Sus scrofa: one gene and its partner. The protein of the gene in region 2 interacts with the protein of the main gene of each other region in a pairwise test. Links are inferred from orthologs where the notes say so. Each region holds a gene or a part of one and is shown on either strand. Other genes may lie near its edges.

Evidence for each region. The genes of interacting proteins can lie anywhere in the genome.
Region 1: the proteins of UBE2L6 (region 2) and RNF144A interact in a two-hybrid assay, tested with the Homo sapiens proteins (2 studies listed by BioGRID and IntAct). The link is inferred for Sus scrofa from reciprocal best matches to the Homo sapiens genes UBE2L6 and RNF144A.

The regions. Positions count from the first base shown.
Region 1 is NC_010445.4:128,765,800-128,773,903, forward strand, and holds part of RNF144A (E3 ubiquitin-protein ligase RNF144A), read right to left. Parts: intron 5,089-8,104; coding exon 4,881-5,088; intron 1-4,880. UniProt on the Homo sapiens protein: E3 ubiquitin-protein ligase which accepts ubiquitin from E2 ubiquitin-conjugating enzymes UBE2L3 and UBE2L6 in the form of a thioester and then directly transfers the ubiquitin to targeted substrates.
Region 2 is NC_010444.4:13,363,755-13,370,788, reverse strand, and holds the end of UBE2L6 (ubiquitin/ISG15-conjugating enzyme E2 L6), read right to left. Parts: intron 4,648-7,034; coding exon 4,461-4,647; intron 2,495-4,460; coding exon 2,343-2,494; downstream 1-2,342. UniProt on the Homo sapiens protein: Catalyzes the covalent attachment of ubiquitin or ISG15 to other proteins. Functions in the E6/E6-AP-induced ubiquitination of p53/TP53. Promotes ubiquitination and subsequent proteasomal degradation of FLT3.

The DNA of each region.
Region 1 (8,104 bases), on a different chromosome or scaffold from region 2:
GCTACGCTGGAAGCATTAGCTTAACTAGAGGCACTGCGGTCACCAATCATTAAACGAGGTAAGTTGAAACCAAAGAATCTCCAACTCTGGAAAATAATCATCAAAAAACTGAATCAGCCAGTCTGACTTAGGGGGAAAAAGAACAAGATCAGCACATAGAGACAAACAAGAGAAACTAGGGCAGAAGGCTGACAGCGAAAGTCTCTGAGTCACGGGATTCGGGCCAAACGCCAGGTCCTTATTCCTATAGTTGTGTGCTTTCCAAAGGGTTGATAATAAATTATGTGCTCTTTGCTATTATCAGAAAAAAAAAAAGGAATGTTAAACAAACACACACTGATGGAACTAGAGATTCTCACACTAAGTGAAAAGTAAATCAGAAAGAGAAAGACAGACACCGTATGATATCACTTATATGTGGAATCTAAAATACGGCACACGTGAACCTGTCTACAGAACAGAAACAGACTCAGACATGGAGAACAGACTTGTGGTTGCTATGGAGGGGAGGAGTGGGATGGGCTTGGAGTTTGGGGTTCATAGACGCAAACTGTTCCATTTAGAATGGATACCAATGAGGTCCTGCTATATGTATAGCGCAGGGAACCCGATCCAATCACCTGCTGGAGATATATGAGAGAGACATTATGTATAGACATATGACTGGGTCACTTTGCTGCACAGCAGAAATCAACAGAATAATGTGAATCAACTATAATTTAAAAATTAAATACACCCACGCACACACTAACGGCTTAGGAAGATCTACTTGGCTCCTCTGTACAGCGTCACTTTCCTGATTGGTCTGGGTGGCCCTGCAGTGGCGAGCATGGCAGGACTGAAGCCTGGGGTCAAGAGCTGGCTCTTCTGACACCATCTGGGTGGCAAGGTCTCTGAGCCCCAGTCCCCCGTCCGTGTGAGCCTGATGGTTCAGGTTATGCATGAGGAGCACAGGGCAATGCCCGGTGTGTGCGAAGTGCCCAACAAATGAAAGCAATGATTCTCCACTGCTCATCAAAGGATGACCTGCGGTCTTTTAGGTTTGACTCTAGAAAGATGTCCACCCCATGCTACTCATTTTATTTTTGTTTTTATTTATTTTTTTGGCTGTGCCTGTGATAGCTGCAAGTTCCCAGGCCAGGGATCGAACCTGCACTGTGGCAGCGGCAATGCCCGATCTTGAACCTGTTGAGCCACCAGGGAACTCCACGCATGCTATTAATCTTAAAAAGGAAGCTAAAAAATGAAGGGAATCCTCTGGAAGAAGCGGCCAAGGGCGGTCGTCCCTGGTGATGGGGCATGTTTGCTATATTGTGTGAACTCACTGCGTCTACTCAACATCACTGGGAGAAAAATGACCTTCCCTTGGGGCGAGGAGCTTTTTCAGAACCTAAGGCGTTCACATATACCCATTCACCGAAACTGAGCAAATGCTGGCATTTTGAGTGCATTCTGGCTCTTCCACAAGCATCACAGTGCACGTGAGGGTTAAATACAGCCTCACTTTGCACTAACCTGAGCTTCCACAGGATCATGCCCTTGGGATTTTCCCGTTTGCTCACCAGCACAAGGAGACCAGTTAAGAAGCACCGGAAGGAAGAAGCATGGCCTTGGAGTTAGCGGGTCTGGAGACAGGCACACAAGGCCTGGCAGTGCTACGTGTGTCTCATCAGTCTCTTTGCCCTCGGACATGAGGCAAACTGCATCCACATCAGAGGGGGTGATGGAGATGAAAAAAGCTTTCGTGTACTGAGCACACAGAAACCAGCACATCTCTAGCAATCACTCAATAAATGGTGGTTGTCAGTAATACCGTTACTGAAATGCAATAAAACGGTCTCCAGCTCAAATCTGTCTCTAATTTAACAGCAAACTGCAGACCAACCTGGCTGCCCAGAACGTGATCTACAAGGAACCTGGGTTGTCACAACATGTGCAAACGCTTCCAGAGACTGGAGGAGATGCCAGCTGCCCCCCTGGAATGAGCTTGATGTTTAGCAAGCGCCCAAAGTCACGAGGCATCCAGTGCCCAGATCAAGGTTGACTCTCAGGTTGGATAACATTTCAGTTTGAAAGCCAAATATGCCCTTAAAATAGTGCAACCGATTTTCTCACGTGGCTCATAAGATATACCCTTTTTTTCTTTTTAGAGCCACACCTGCAGCACTTGGAGGTTCCCAGGATAGGGATCAAATCTGAGCTGCAGCTGCCGGCCTACGCCACAGCCACAGATCCGAGACGAATCTGCAACCGACACCTCAGCTCATGGCAATGCTGGATCCTTAACCCACTCAGCAAGGCTAGGGATCGAACCCGCATCCTCATGGATGCTAGTCAGGTTCATAACCCACTGAGCCACAACAGGAACTCCACTCATAAGATAATTTTGAAGAAAAAGCCCTGATTGGAAGGAATATGCATGGAGTATGGGGAGTCCCTTTCAGGGTGCTTTCCGAGGAGAAATAGTTAAATTATGAATGTTCTAGGGCACTAAGGTGTGAAATTTACATGGTAGTGTCGCTGATGTTCAAACAGTTTCTGGAACCTGAATTACATTCCAAATGATTACTAGCAACAGCTCTAACTATGAACTCAAATTTGTGAAGGCAGGGAGGAGTCCGGACAGTTTCATCACACTCTACATGCGCTGATGTCTTTAAGGAAGAACATACAACATGAATGAAACTTGTCAGGTGGTGGGTGGGAATGGGGGATAAAGGGAGAGTTAATCAAAAGGGAAAAAATTACACTCAAAAATAACCAAGGGTGCGCTCCGTTATAAATGATACCTGATGGTCAGCCTAGGGACTAGGGAGACAAGGGGGAGTGGTGAGGACTGTGGCCAAGTAAAGATTCCAGAAACCCCTTGTAAAGAGGGGGCTGCTGCTCAGCTCAGCTGACTGTCTCCAAGTGGGAATGCCATTCTATGTGGCTGGATAAGCCAGAAATTCAGATTTTTATAAGAAATCTTTAGGTTTTCAATTTCTACAAAAAGAGATTTGTGAATTCTTATTTAAATTGCCCTTGTGTCCCTTTTTTTTTTTTTTTTTAGGTTGCACAGCCTCATTTTTTTCATTTTGTTGGTTCCTATTCTTTGTAAGGTGTGTCACGAGGGACTTACTACTCACATACAGCATGACATTGTGACGTGACTGTGGCCCTCGGGCAGTGACCTACATGAGACCAGCGCATGGGGGATGAAGAAACACAAAGAATCAGGCTCCCAACAGCCACCCCCTGCATCCTAGGAAGGTTTTATGATTTTAAGCGTCCCTCCTCCATCCCACAGGAGTGGGACACTGGCTCTTCCTGACTCCTCGGCTCCCTGCTTCCAGAACGGAAGCCCCCTCACTCACTAAATGGGGGGCTTCTCTTCTCTTAAACAGTCACCTGCTGGCTTCACAGGGGCACTTCCCCCCGGGGCACTTCCCCCGCCTGCCCTCTGTGTGCTTCTTTGCCAGCCTGGAAATCCAGCCCCTCACCCCCAACTGTAAGTGGATCCAGAGCCCAACTGTAAGTCAAGTCATCTTTCTAGCATTTGAGCACCTGCTGTATGCCAAGGCTGGGGTAACAACTAAGGCAGGAGCTCGGCCGGCTGGAGGATCCAGTCACACAAAGAGATGGACTAACACCCAGCAAGGCTGTGTTGTCACCAAGGCAAAAGCTCTCCTGCAGGACACAGAGGGTGGGCCCCCAACCCTGCCTTGGGAACCGGGACTCGACAAAGGAGGGGATGACAGCAATGTTGCCAAGGGTGACAAGGAGTTTCTGGGAAAACAGGGGGGCAGGGAAGGGTTGTTCCAGGCACAGGCACACAGGTGCAGACAGGAGGCCACAGGAATGTGACCCGGGGTCGCCCAGAGGGTCCCTGTGCAGGCCGAGCTGCAGGGAGGGGGTGGGGGCAGCAGAGCAAGACAGGCTGCAGCTGGTGACACCTGTGGCCGATGGCGGGAGTGACTCAGTCAGGAATGTGGCCTCATCTGGCGCTGGGCCCCTGCCTCTAACTAACTGAACCAGACACCACTGCAGATACTGTAGGACAAAAAGCTGAGTATTACCAATTTCTTACGGTTCAACCTACAAAATCTCAAGGTACACCCAAGGATGCTGAGGTGGCCTCCTGGGCATCCAGACAAGGGACCCGCCAGGGGACAGGACCAATGTGCTGATTTACATGTCCTTCCTGACTGGCCCCCCGTTTCCAGAAGTGGCCGCCTAGGCCTCAGGCCCCAGAGCTGGTTTCTGGTGATCCTTCTGGTATTTCTAACTGCCGCCCCTCCTCTGCTCCCTGTCCGGCACCCTGGTTTCTGGTCATCTTGGGGAAAATTTCATGGATCAGAGGGCTCACAGCCCTGCAGGGTAACTGATCACATGTCTCTCTTTCCGGACAGGCAGATTGAACTTTGTTAACTTACGCATCTTTATAGTTTCAGGGCCTCGCACAGTGCCTGGTACATAATCAGCTTTCCAATATCAATAATAAACAGGCGTTCCTGCTGTGGGAGAGTGGGTTTAAAATCTGACTGCAGTGGTTCAGGTCTCTGTGGAGGTGCAGGTTCTGTACCCTGCCCAGTTTAGTGGGTTAAAGGATCTGGGGTTGCCCCAGCTGAGGTTCAAGTCAAAGCTGCACCTCAGATTTGATCCCTGATCCGGGAATTTCTGTATACCATGGGTGTGGCAATGAAACAAATAAAATATAAAATAAAATAAAAAATAAAACAAAACCACCCAGCCCCAGGTCTGCATGAGACCCAAGAGAAAAGCATCATGGAAACTGGCCAGCACAGCCCGGGCCTCCCTGAGGCACCTTTGGGGAGGAGCCTGCTTCCACCTCCAGCCCTCGGGCCATGCCCACTTGGCCGCCTGTGTCCTGAGCGTACCTGGTCTCCCCAGGAAGGAAGGTGATGGGCATGGTCTCTGGGCAGCCTTGGCCAGGGTGCCAGCTGGCTTTGCAGGCCGAGCAGAATTCCGTGTCGCAGGCTTTGCACTGCACCAGCTGTGGCGTCTGTAGCCCCATCTCCTGGAGCTGGCACACAGCCTGGCAGGTGGACGCCGGGCACCAAGTCCGACAGGGGTCCAGGAGCACCTCTGGCACAGGGGGGAAAAAAAAATGGGTGCGTCAGTCCGCAGGACCAAGGATCTGGCAGAACTTTGGACGGAAGGTCACATCAGCGTGTGGAGAATGTCAAGGTCAGACATAACACGCCCTTCACCATCCAGGGCCTGTCTGGCTTTCTCCCCTCTCCAGCCACACCCTACCCCCACCCCACTCACACTGGGGGGCAGCAGATCCCCACCCCACCCCCGATCCTCAAGAACCCCTATATCCTGGAAGCCTCAAGGTCCAGGCCGTGCCTCTGGCGTCCCTGCCCGCCTGCCCAGGACACGGCTTCCACCAGCCAGGCTCCAGCCTCAGGCTCATAGCCTCACAGCCTGGCCCAGTGAGCAGCACAGTCGGCACCCCAAAATGCCCACTAAGGATGGAAAGAAAAGAGAGAAGGCAGGTGGCCGCCTCTTCCTCTCATCAAAGGCCTCATCCGCCTGTGACTGCCTCCCGCCAAGTTTAAGTCAAAGCACTGAGGTGAGACCTGCGCATTCACGCTCCAGCAGCAGCTCTTCCTCCAAAGTGGGCCCGCAGCACAAGAAGCCTGATTTAATGAAGTCGTCAGTCCGTTTACTTTGAGAAAGAGGAGGGCCTGACATTCCCATTCCTTCGTATCTGCATTCACTTCTCGCATCTCTTTAAATGATGGTCCCGAGCTGCCCTTCCTGGGAGCCTGGTTCCTCGTGCCCTGGACCCTTTGTCCAGTATGACTGGACCCTCAACTACAGGCAATGGACAGGAAGCCACGTGGATGCTGATGCAAGGCCCAAACTCCGGGGAGGCCAAAGGATCACAGGGTCCAAGTGAGCCCCTGAGGCCCGAACTGTTCAGCAGGGTTGCCCTTGAGAAGGAATCCACTGCCTTGTGCTGGGAACTGGGAGACGAGGAACGGCCCTGCAGGTGTCTCGGCCACGTGAGCAGCCATCACTGGAGTGGGAAGCTTTACCCACGTCAGAACTGCAAGCACTGGGACCTTCAACCGGCCAAGGCTGTCAGGGGCTGCGGACAGGCCACACCTGAGTTTGCCACGTTCCCCATCAAATGCAGAAGTCAGATTCTGCCCTCGATGAAGGAACTCATGTCAGGTGCAACCTGACTAAAAACTCCTCCTCCTCCAATCCCAGGGCTGACAGGGAGTGTCAGTCTTTGAGGGCCAGCGGTTTTCCATCCAGCGACTCAGCTCCACTGTGGCAGCGCAGAGGCAGCCATGCTGACTCGTGACGGAGTGTTCTAATAAAGCTTTATTCACAACGCCAGGATGGGGGCCGAGCTGATCTGGTCCACTGGCCATGGTTGGCTGATTCCTGACCTTTTTTTCTCTTTTTAAGGTGTATTAATCAACAGTATAAAGCTATCCAATGGGTGGGTCTGGCAGAAGTTTTAGAAGTCTTGATAATACAAAGGAACTCTGGCAATCAGGGAAATGTGACACTTTTTAATTGCTTTTCACTGTAATGATGTAAAGGCCTCCTGGTGCGCCTCATGGTGAGTGGAGGGGTAAAATTAGCTCTTGTCATGAGCTGAGCTGAGTGTTTGCTTTTCTAAGACTGTTTCTGGCTGTCAGATCCGAGGAGGTGGTTTTGTGGGAAAAGGCAGCTGTTGCCTCCTGGGCACACGTGTGGGGGCAGCTGCCTGTAGCTCCCTGGGCTGAGAAGCAGGAAAAGGCAAGGGAGGGAGGGGTGAGGGGGTGGCCCAGGGCAGGGGTGCTTCCAGGGGGCGGAAGAAGTATGCCCTGGGAGGAAACGGCAAAGGCCTCTGGCAGGGTTCCGCACCTTCTACCTGGTAGTGCTCCCCTTCCCCCATCTGAGTCACACTCCTGCCCCACCCCCATCCCCCCACCAGCTCTGGAATTTCTCTATCAGCTCTGCCTCCCACCTGTGCGGATGTGAGCAGGGCTCTGCCTCAACCACGTCTCAGGGCCCCGTTGTGCACGGCATCCGAGGACCGTGCTGCAGAGTGTGGGCGCTGGGCGTGCAAACATGGGCGGACAGGTGCAGCTACCTCCTCGGCTGGGTGTTTCACTGCCGACCTGACAAGGCGTGGAGTGATGGTCCACCAGAACACCGAAGGGACAGTGCTGTCCAACTGAGATCCTTCCAGTTCCTCCTGCTCTCCTTCTTCTGTGACCTCATCAGGGGACCAGCTTTCTACCTGCATCTCGGGGCAAGCGCCCAAGCGTCACCTCCCCACCACTCCTCTCAGAACAGGAACAAGAGCGTGTGTAGTGACTGAGCTGCCTTTTCATGAAAGGCCCAATTAAGTTCTGCAGCACACGGCAGTGGAGACCTAGTTAGGGTTTCCATGGTAATGACTTAAATTGTGTGACTTCTGTCCTTGAGGAGCTGTGACACAGCACCACCCATCTCCGTGGGAGAGTCCCTGTGGGAGAATCGGGGGGCAAACGGCCCGCCCCATCCATCTGCCAGCTCAGAACTCTTCCCTGGCTGCTGGCACGTGTGCCCCTCCTGTGAGCACAGCCCGGGCTCCTCCCTCGGGCGTCTAGTAACACCTGCATCATCATTCTCACTGCTGAACTCTGCCAGCTGGGGCACAAGACGGGACTCCAGCAATAAGAAAATCCACACAAGGCAACATCAGAGTTTTTGTTTCCAGGATGTAAAAATACATATGTATCTATGTCTATCTACCTACCTATTATTCTATCACACATATAGCTTACATGATGTATGAGATACATTATATCTTACCTGTTATGATACATAAATATTGTCCCTAATATTTATATAAGTGCATATTTGCATAGAATCTATTTTTAAACAAGGCAAGCAGTGTATTTTCTGGCACAGGAGAAGAAACTCATCTAACTCCCATTTCCCAGAGAGATATGCATAATAGATTAATGAAGCAGGTGCCCAGAAGCCCTACTTATCAAAAAGCCCAAGACTCTTTAAAAGGGTGCTTTTCTTGCTCAAACACGGTTGTCCTTTGAGAAGCACGCTGTGAAGGGCAGCAGGCCCAGAGACCCCTCTCCTTCTGGTC
Region 2 (7,034 bases):
TAGGGCCTCACCAGTGGCATATAGAGGTTCCCAGGCTAGGGGTTGAATCAGAGCTACAGCTGCCAGCCTACGCCACAGCCACAGCCACACGGCATCCGAGCCGCATCTGCAACCTACACCACAGCTCAGGGCAACACCGGATCCTTAACTCACTGGGCAAGGCCAGGGATCGAACCCACGTCCTCATGGATGCTAGCTGGGCTCATTAACCACTGAGCCATGACGGGAACTCCTGATTTCTTGATTTTCATATCAAATCACTTGATATGATTTTCTCAACAACCATGAAGGGCATCTGGGAAAGGATAGCAGCCTGGGTCCCACCACTCACTAGCTGTGTGTCCCTGGGTCAGTGAGTTAACCTCTCTGAGCCTCAGTTTACTGTCTAAAGAGGAATAACAGGAGTTCAAACTCATGGAGGAGCTGTGTGGGTTGAATGAGACCTGCAAGAGGACAAAAAGCCTCACCTAGGGCCTGTCACCTAAGTGTTTTGTAAGTGGTGGCCCAAAGTAACAACACATCTTACATTTCCAGCCACGAGTGGTACTTTCCCAATGCTTTTGCTTCTGTCCACACTTCTGTCAGGTTACGGAATCCGAGGGCAAGGGCCAGAGTAGAAGATTCTCTAGAAACGTCTCCCATATTAGGCTAGTGGGGCCTGGGGCGATTCCCTTGATTCAGTGATACCCTATATTCTGTCTCTTAAAAGCCAGTGATTATCCAGGAGCTTAGAACCATTGCACCCAGAAACTTCTTCCTTCGAGTTAAGATAATCCCTCCTACTCTGGCTGAAGTTTTGGCTTGTGTTTTTCCACTGCTCCTTATAACTGAGAGCTGAGTTACAACTTCCTGCTAACAAGCCTTCCTGGCTCTATCAGCCACTCGGCAGCACGTGGGCTGGTGAGAACAGCTCACGAAGATCACAGACACAGAAACCAGCCAGCGTGGCACTGTGGCCAGAGGTGTGCCCTCTGCCTTGACTGGCGGCGTGGACCTGGCAACCCTCTGAAGCTGTGCCTTGGTTGTTTCACCCATAAAATGGGGATGTTACTATTGCGGACATGTTGATGACCCCTCCGGCCGAGGGTGGCCTGGTCCCTCATGGCCAGCTTTCCCCACAAGGCTTGGGGTTACCAGAGCCAAACATAAATGGAAGCAAGGTCACATCTTTTATGAGACTGCAGCTAGGAGTGGCTCAGTGGTAACAAACCCGACTAGTGTCCATAAGGACAAGGGTTCAATCCCTGGCTTAGCTCAGTGGGTTAAGGATCTAGCATTGCCGTGAGCTTCAGTGTACTTACGGAAGCTGGTGGCTGTAGTTCTGTTTCAATCCCAAGACTGGGAACTTCCATATGCTACACCCATGGCCCTAAAAAAAAAAAAAAATACTGCAGCTAAATCCCCGCCTCCTCTTCTCCCAATGAACCCCCATTCTTCAATGAACAATCAGCTGGAGTCCACAGTTCATCTGTGACTTTAATGGCTGGGCAAGCACATGGTCGCCGTGGCTCCCCCCTGGACTGGAAGCTGGAGGGGAGACCTCTCTCTGCTTAAAGCCTGGTCCCCAGGAACCAGCAACCTAATGGGACAGCAAGTGGTTTTGAAACCATGTAGGCATGTGGACGTTTCTGGGCCGGGGATCGAACCCGTGCCACAGCAGCAACCCAAGCCACTGCAGTGACAATGTCAGATCCTGAACCCACTGGGCCATGAGGAAACTCTGAGATTAGATTTTTCACTTTATGTTTCATCAGTGGAAGAGAAAAGGTTTTGCACCTAAATCTATGTGTACCTATCAGCGGTCTGGCTGATCTCATTCACTCAATCAACAAAATGATCCATTGTGAAAAGGATCCCCACCCTAGGACCTGCCTCCTACCCATACACCCCACCACCCCTCCACCCCGTGCCTGGACCATGGCGCGGGATTCCGGTCAGCTGCTGGGCTCACTGCCCACAAGCTGGCTTGGAAGGTGGCCTGAGTCTCTACGATGGACCAACTAGCGAAACCAGGAATCCCATCTCACAGAGTCCAGAAGAGCTGGCCTGTGACTCTGCAAACCTCGATGTCCCTGGCTCTGGAGCAGAAAAAGGGAGTGGGACAAGCGCACCTGTGGGCCCTGGGTCCACATACCACAAACATCTGTACCCCCCCCCATACACACACCTGCGCGTTCACACACGGACACACACGCACACACACACACTAATGACTAACAGCCTACAAGGGAAAACTTGGAAGAAGTGAGCAGGATCACAAAGGGGCTCTGGCTCCCCATCCGTGCGGTATGTCCGTCCATCACGCAGAGAGGATCTGGTGCAGAGACGGGTCACGGGCAGAGTTAGGAGGGCCGGTCCACTCCGAACTGGAGGGTGAACTCTTCGGCCTTCCTGTTGAACAGCTCCGGGTCCTGGGTCAGCTGGTCGGCGAGCTCCACCCGAAGGGGCTGCCCTGGCTCTGGTCTATTCACCAGCACGTTGAGGGCCTCCAGGACTGTGGAGAGAGGTCAGATCCCGACATCAGGACGGAAAGTAAAAATCCTGGGAAGAAGGTGGTGGTTCCCTCCCTCCCCCACCCCCGCCGCCAAAATGCCACGCTCACTCTGTGGGGGGGACCCCCACCCCACCCCCGCAGGAGGGTCCATGTCGCAGGATGGCTCTACAACCGCATCCAAGGCCCCTCACCATCTTCGCTGATGATGCCCAAAGCCCTTCCTGGTTACATCAGCAGTTTTCTAACTCTGATTCATCGTGTCACAGAAGCTTCTCATCACGGGGAGAAAAATGGAGTTTCTGAGTTCTATCCCTTTCAACAAGAACTACTCTGCTCTCCCGTTTTTGTTTTCCTTTTTGGTTTTTGTTTTGTCTTTTGAGGGCCATACCTATGGCATATGGAAGTTCCCGGCTATGGGTTGAACGGGAGCTACAGCTGCCAGCCTACGCCACAGCCATAGCAACACAGCATCTGAGCCATGTCTGCGAGCTACACCACAGCTCATGGCAACATGGGATCCTTAACCCACTGAGCAAGGCCAGGGATCGAACCCGCAACCTCATGGATCCTAGTCGAGTTCTTTAACCACTGAGCCATGAAGGGAGCTCCCATAGCAGCACTTTTTACAATAGGTAAGATGTGGAAGCAACCTAAATGTCCATCGACAGATCAAAGGATAAAGATGTGGTGTGTGTATACACACATACATACACACAACAGAATATTACTCAGCCGTAAAAAAGAACAAAATAATGTCATTTGCAGCAAAATGGCTGGACCTAGAGATGGTCATACTAAGTGAGTTAAGTCAGACAAAGACAAATATGATATCCCTTGTATGTGGAATCTAAAATATGATACAAATGAACTTGTTCACAAAACAGAAACAGATTCACGGACATAGAAAACAAACTTGTGGTTACTAAAGGGGAAAGGGGAAGAGAGGGATAAATCAGGAGATGGGATTAGCAGATACAAACTACTATAAAACTAACACACCACTGTAAATACATTATATTTCAATCTTTAAAAAAGTGAATTTTTTTTTGGCCATGCCCCAGGTACGGGGAAGTTCCTAGGCCCGGGACTGAACCTGCCCCACAGCAGCAACCGGAGCCACAGCAGTGACAATGCCAGATCCTTAACCCACGGAGCCACCAGTGAACGCCACTGAAAGTGAATTTTTAAAAAATGACATTTGTGGGGTTCTCTTCTGGTTCAGTAGGTTAAGAATCTGGTGTTTTCACTGCAGCAGTTTTGGCTGCTGCCGTGGCTCGGGTTTAGTCCTTGGCCTAGGAACTTCCATATGCTGCAAATGCAGCAAAAAAAAAAAAAAAAAAAAAAGCATGCAAAGCTCTCAGCACAGTGCCAAAAATGTTTAATTAAGTCATGTGTATTAGCATTATTAGGCCAATCCCCTCAGCTGTCATGTAGGGCACTGAACCCTGGAAATAACAGAGACTACACCAAGGTCCCTGGGTGGCCTTACTTATCCCAAGCCCTACCTGCTACAGCCCAGCTCCTTCCCTCAGCAACACTGCTCTGCGCACCTGCCCAGGTATGAGAACAGAGTCAGGAGCAGGTCAGCCAGCTCAGGATCTCAGAATGCATCCCTGCTTTCTGACAACAGGCTCAGCTGAGATGCACAAATTTTTTTTTTTTTTTTTTGTCTTTTTACAGCCGTGCCTACAACATATAGAGGTTCCCAGGCTAGGGATCTGATCAGAGCTACAGCTGCCAGTCTACGCCACAGCCACAGCCACACCGGATCCTTAACCCACTGAGCAAGGCCAGAGATCAAACCTGAGTCCTCCTGGATACTAGTTGGGTTCGTTAACCACTGAGCCACGATGGGAACGCCTAGACTCACAATTTTTATCTCCTCCCTTCTGGGCTATTCTAACTCAAAAGCGGTCCTCTGACCCCATCCAGCATGGGTCCCTTCCTCTGGCAGGGCCCAGCCCACCTTGGCAGGTCTTGGTGCAGGGCTTCCAGTTCTCGTTGCTGATGATGGGCAGACACACCTGGCCTTCGCTGTCCACGTTGGGGTGGTAGATCCTAGTTGTAAACGTCACCGTCGGGGGCTTGAATGGGTACTCCTCCGGGAAGCTGATGCGAAGGTTGAAGGCCCTGAGGTTGTAGGGCGGTTTCTCCTGGGCAAGAGAAGGGCCACTCTGAAAAGCTCATTTTCCTCCTAGGCCCTTGGTCTGGGTTCCCCCTCTCCCTGCCCCCCACCCTAGGGTCCCAGGCATCCTCTGCTCCACTCCGAGGAAGACCCATAAACAGGGACACCCATGGCACCTGTATTCACCTGGCAACTGAGCTGTGGATTCATGAAAGAGTGGAGTCCCAAAAGGACACGGGGCCTGGCAGTCCCAAGAGCTAGACCCAGGCTTTTGCGGTGCAACCAACAACCAGCTGCCTCTCATCAGTCCTCTGATAGGTCCCGTCCAGTTTTTCCGATCTTTTGTTGGCATGGTTAACGATCTGCGTGCCGTGCTATGGTAGTTCAGACGCGGTCGATCCGCGTTGCTGTGTCTGCGTAGCGTTACAGCTCGATTGACCTACTGAACTCATATGAGCAAAAAAACAACAACAAAAAAAAAAAAAAAAAAAAAAAAAAAAAAAAAAAAAAAAATAGTCAAGTTTGGTTAGATGAGCCCTAAAGACCATCTCAGCTTCTTTTTATTATATTGATAATTATACTAATTTTTATTATATATCATTTATATATATATCACTTATAAATTTATATCTACACTTTTCCAGATTTATTGAAATATAACTGCCATATATCACTAAGTTTAAGTTCCCGTTGTGGCTCAGTGGAAATGAAGCTGACTGGTATCCACGAGGATGCAGGTTTGATCCAGTGGTTAAAGGATCCAACATTGCTGTGAGCTGTGGTGTAGGTCTCAGACTCGGCACAGATCCTGTGTTGCTGTGGCTGTGTTGTAAGTTGGCAGCAGTAGCTCCAATTCGACCCCTAGCCTGGGAACTTCCATATGCCTCAGGTGTGGCCCTAAAAAGCCAAAATAACAATAATAATAAGGTGTACAGCATGATGGTTTGATTTAAATACATTGTGCTTCTTAGGGCCACACTCACAGCATATGGAGGTTCCCAGGCTAGGGGCTGAATTGGAGCTACAGCTGCTGGCCTATGCCACAGCCACAGAAATGCAAGATCCAGGCTGCGTCTGCAACCTACAACACAGCTCATGGCAACACCGGATCCCAGACTCACTGAGCAAGGCCAGGGATCGAACCTGCATCCTCATGGATACTAGTCAGATTTGTTTCCGCTGCACCACAATGAGAACTAAATATACTGTGAAATGACGACCACAGTAGGTTCAGCTGACATCCTCCTTCTCATATAGATAATAATAAAAAAAAAAAGAAAAAGAAAAAAGAAAAAATTTTTTCTCCTTGTGATGAGAGCACTTAGGATTTATTCTCAACAATTTTCCTGCCTATCACACTGTGGTGTTAGCTGTAGTCATGTTATACAATACATCCCAAGTCATTATCTACAACTGCAAGTTTGTACCTTTTGTCTGCCTTCATCCAATTTTCCCTTCCCCCACCCTCCACCTCTGGCAACCACAGGTCTGATCTCTTTTCCTATGAGTTTTGTTTTTAGGTTTCTCATATAAGTAAGATCACACAATATTTATCTTTCTCTGTCTGACTTATTTCACTTAGCATAATGCCTTTAAGTCCATTCATGTTGCTGCAAACAGTCAACTCAGCTTTAACATCTGAGAATTATGGAAGAGAAGGATGGACATTTTTCCTTTTTTTAATGCCTGCACCCGTGGCATATGGAAGTTCCTGGGCCAGGGGTCCAATCAGAGCTGCAGCTGCTGGCCTGCACCACAGCCAGAGCAATGCCAGATCCAAGCCCTATGTGCAGCTCGTGGCAAACCTGGATACTTAACCCACTGAGGGAGGCCAGGGATCGAACCTGCGTCCCCAAGGGTACTAGTCAAGCTCTTAACCCACTGAGCTACAATGGGAACACGGATAGACACTTTCTCTTAGGGAGCTCTTAGCAAGTACAGGAGAATGTCATTGCTGGGTGCTTGGAAAAGGAGAAAATAAGGAAATCAAAAGAAGTCAGGGGCTTAGGAAAGAAATTCTGCAGCCACTGTGGAAAACGATATGGCGGTTCCTCAAAAAATTAAACAGAATTACCATATGATCAAGCACTTCTACTTCGTAGTATCTATTCAGAAAAACTCAAAGCAGAGACTCGAACGGGTATTTGTACACCCAGGTTCATAGCTGGGTGGGTCACAGCAGCATAAGACTGAAACAACCCAAACATCCATCAACAGATGAATATATTAATCGCATGTGGCATATCCATGCAATGGAGTATTACTCCACCTTAAAAAGGTAGGACAGGAGTTCCCGTCGTGGCGCAGTGGTTAACAAATCCAACTAGGAACCATGAGGTTGCGGGTTCGATCCCTGACCTTGCCCAGTGGGTTAAGGATCCAGCATTGCCATGAGCTGGTGTGTAAGTCACAGAC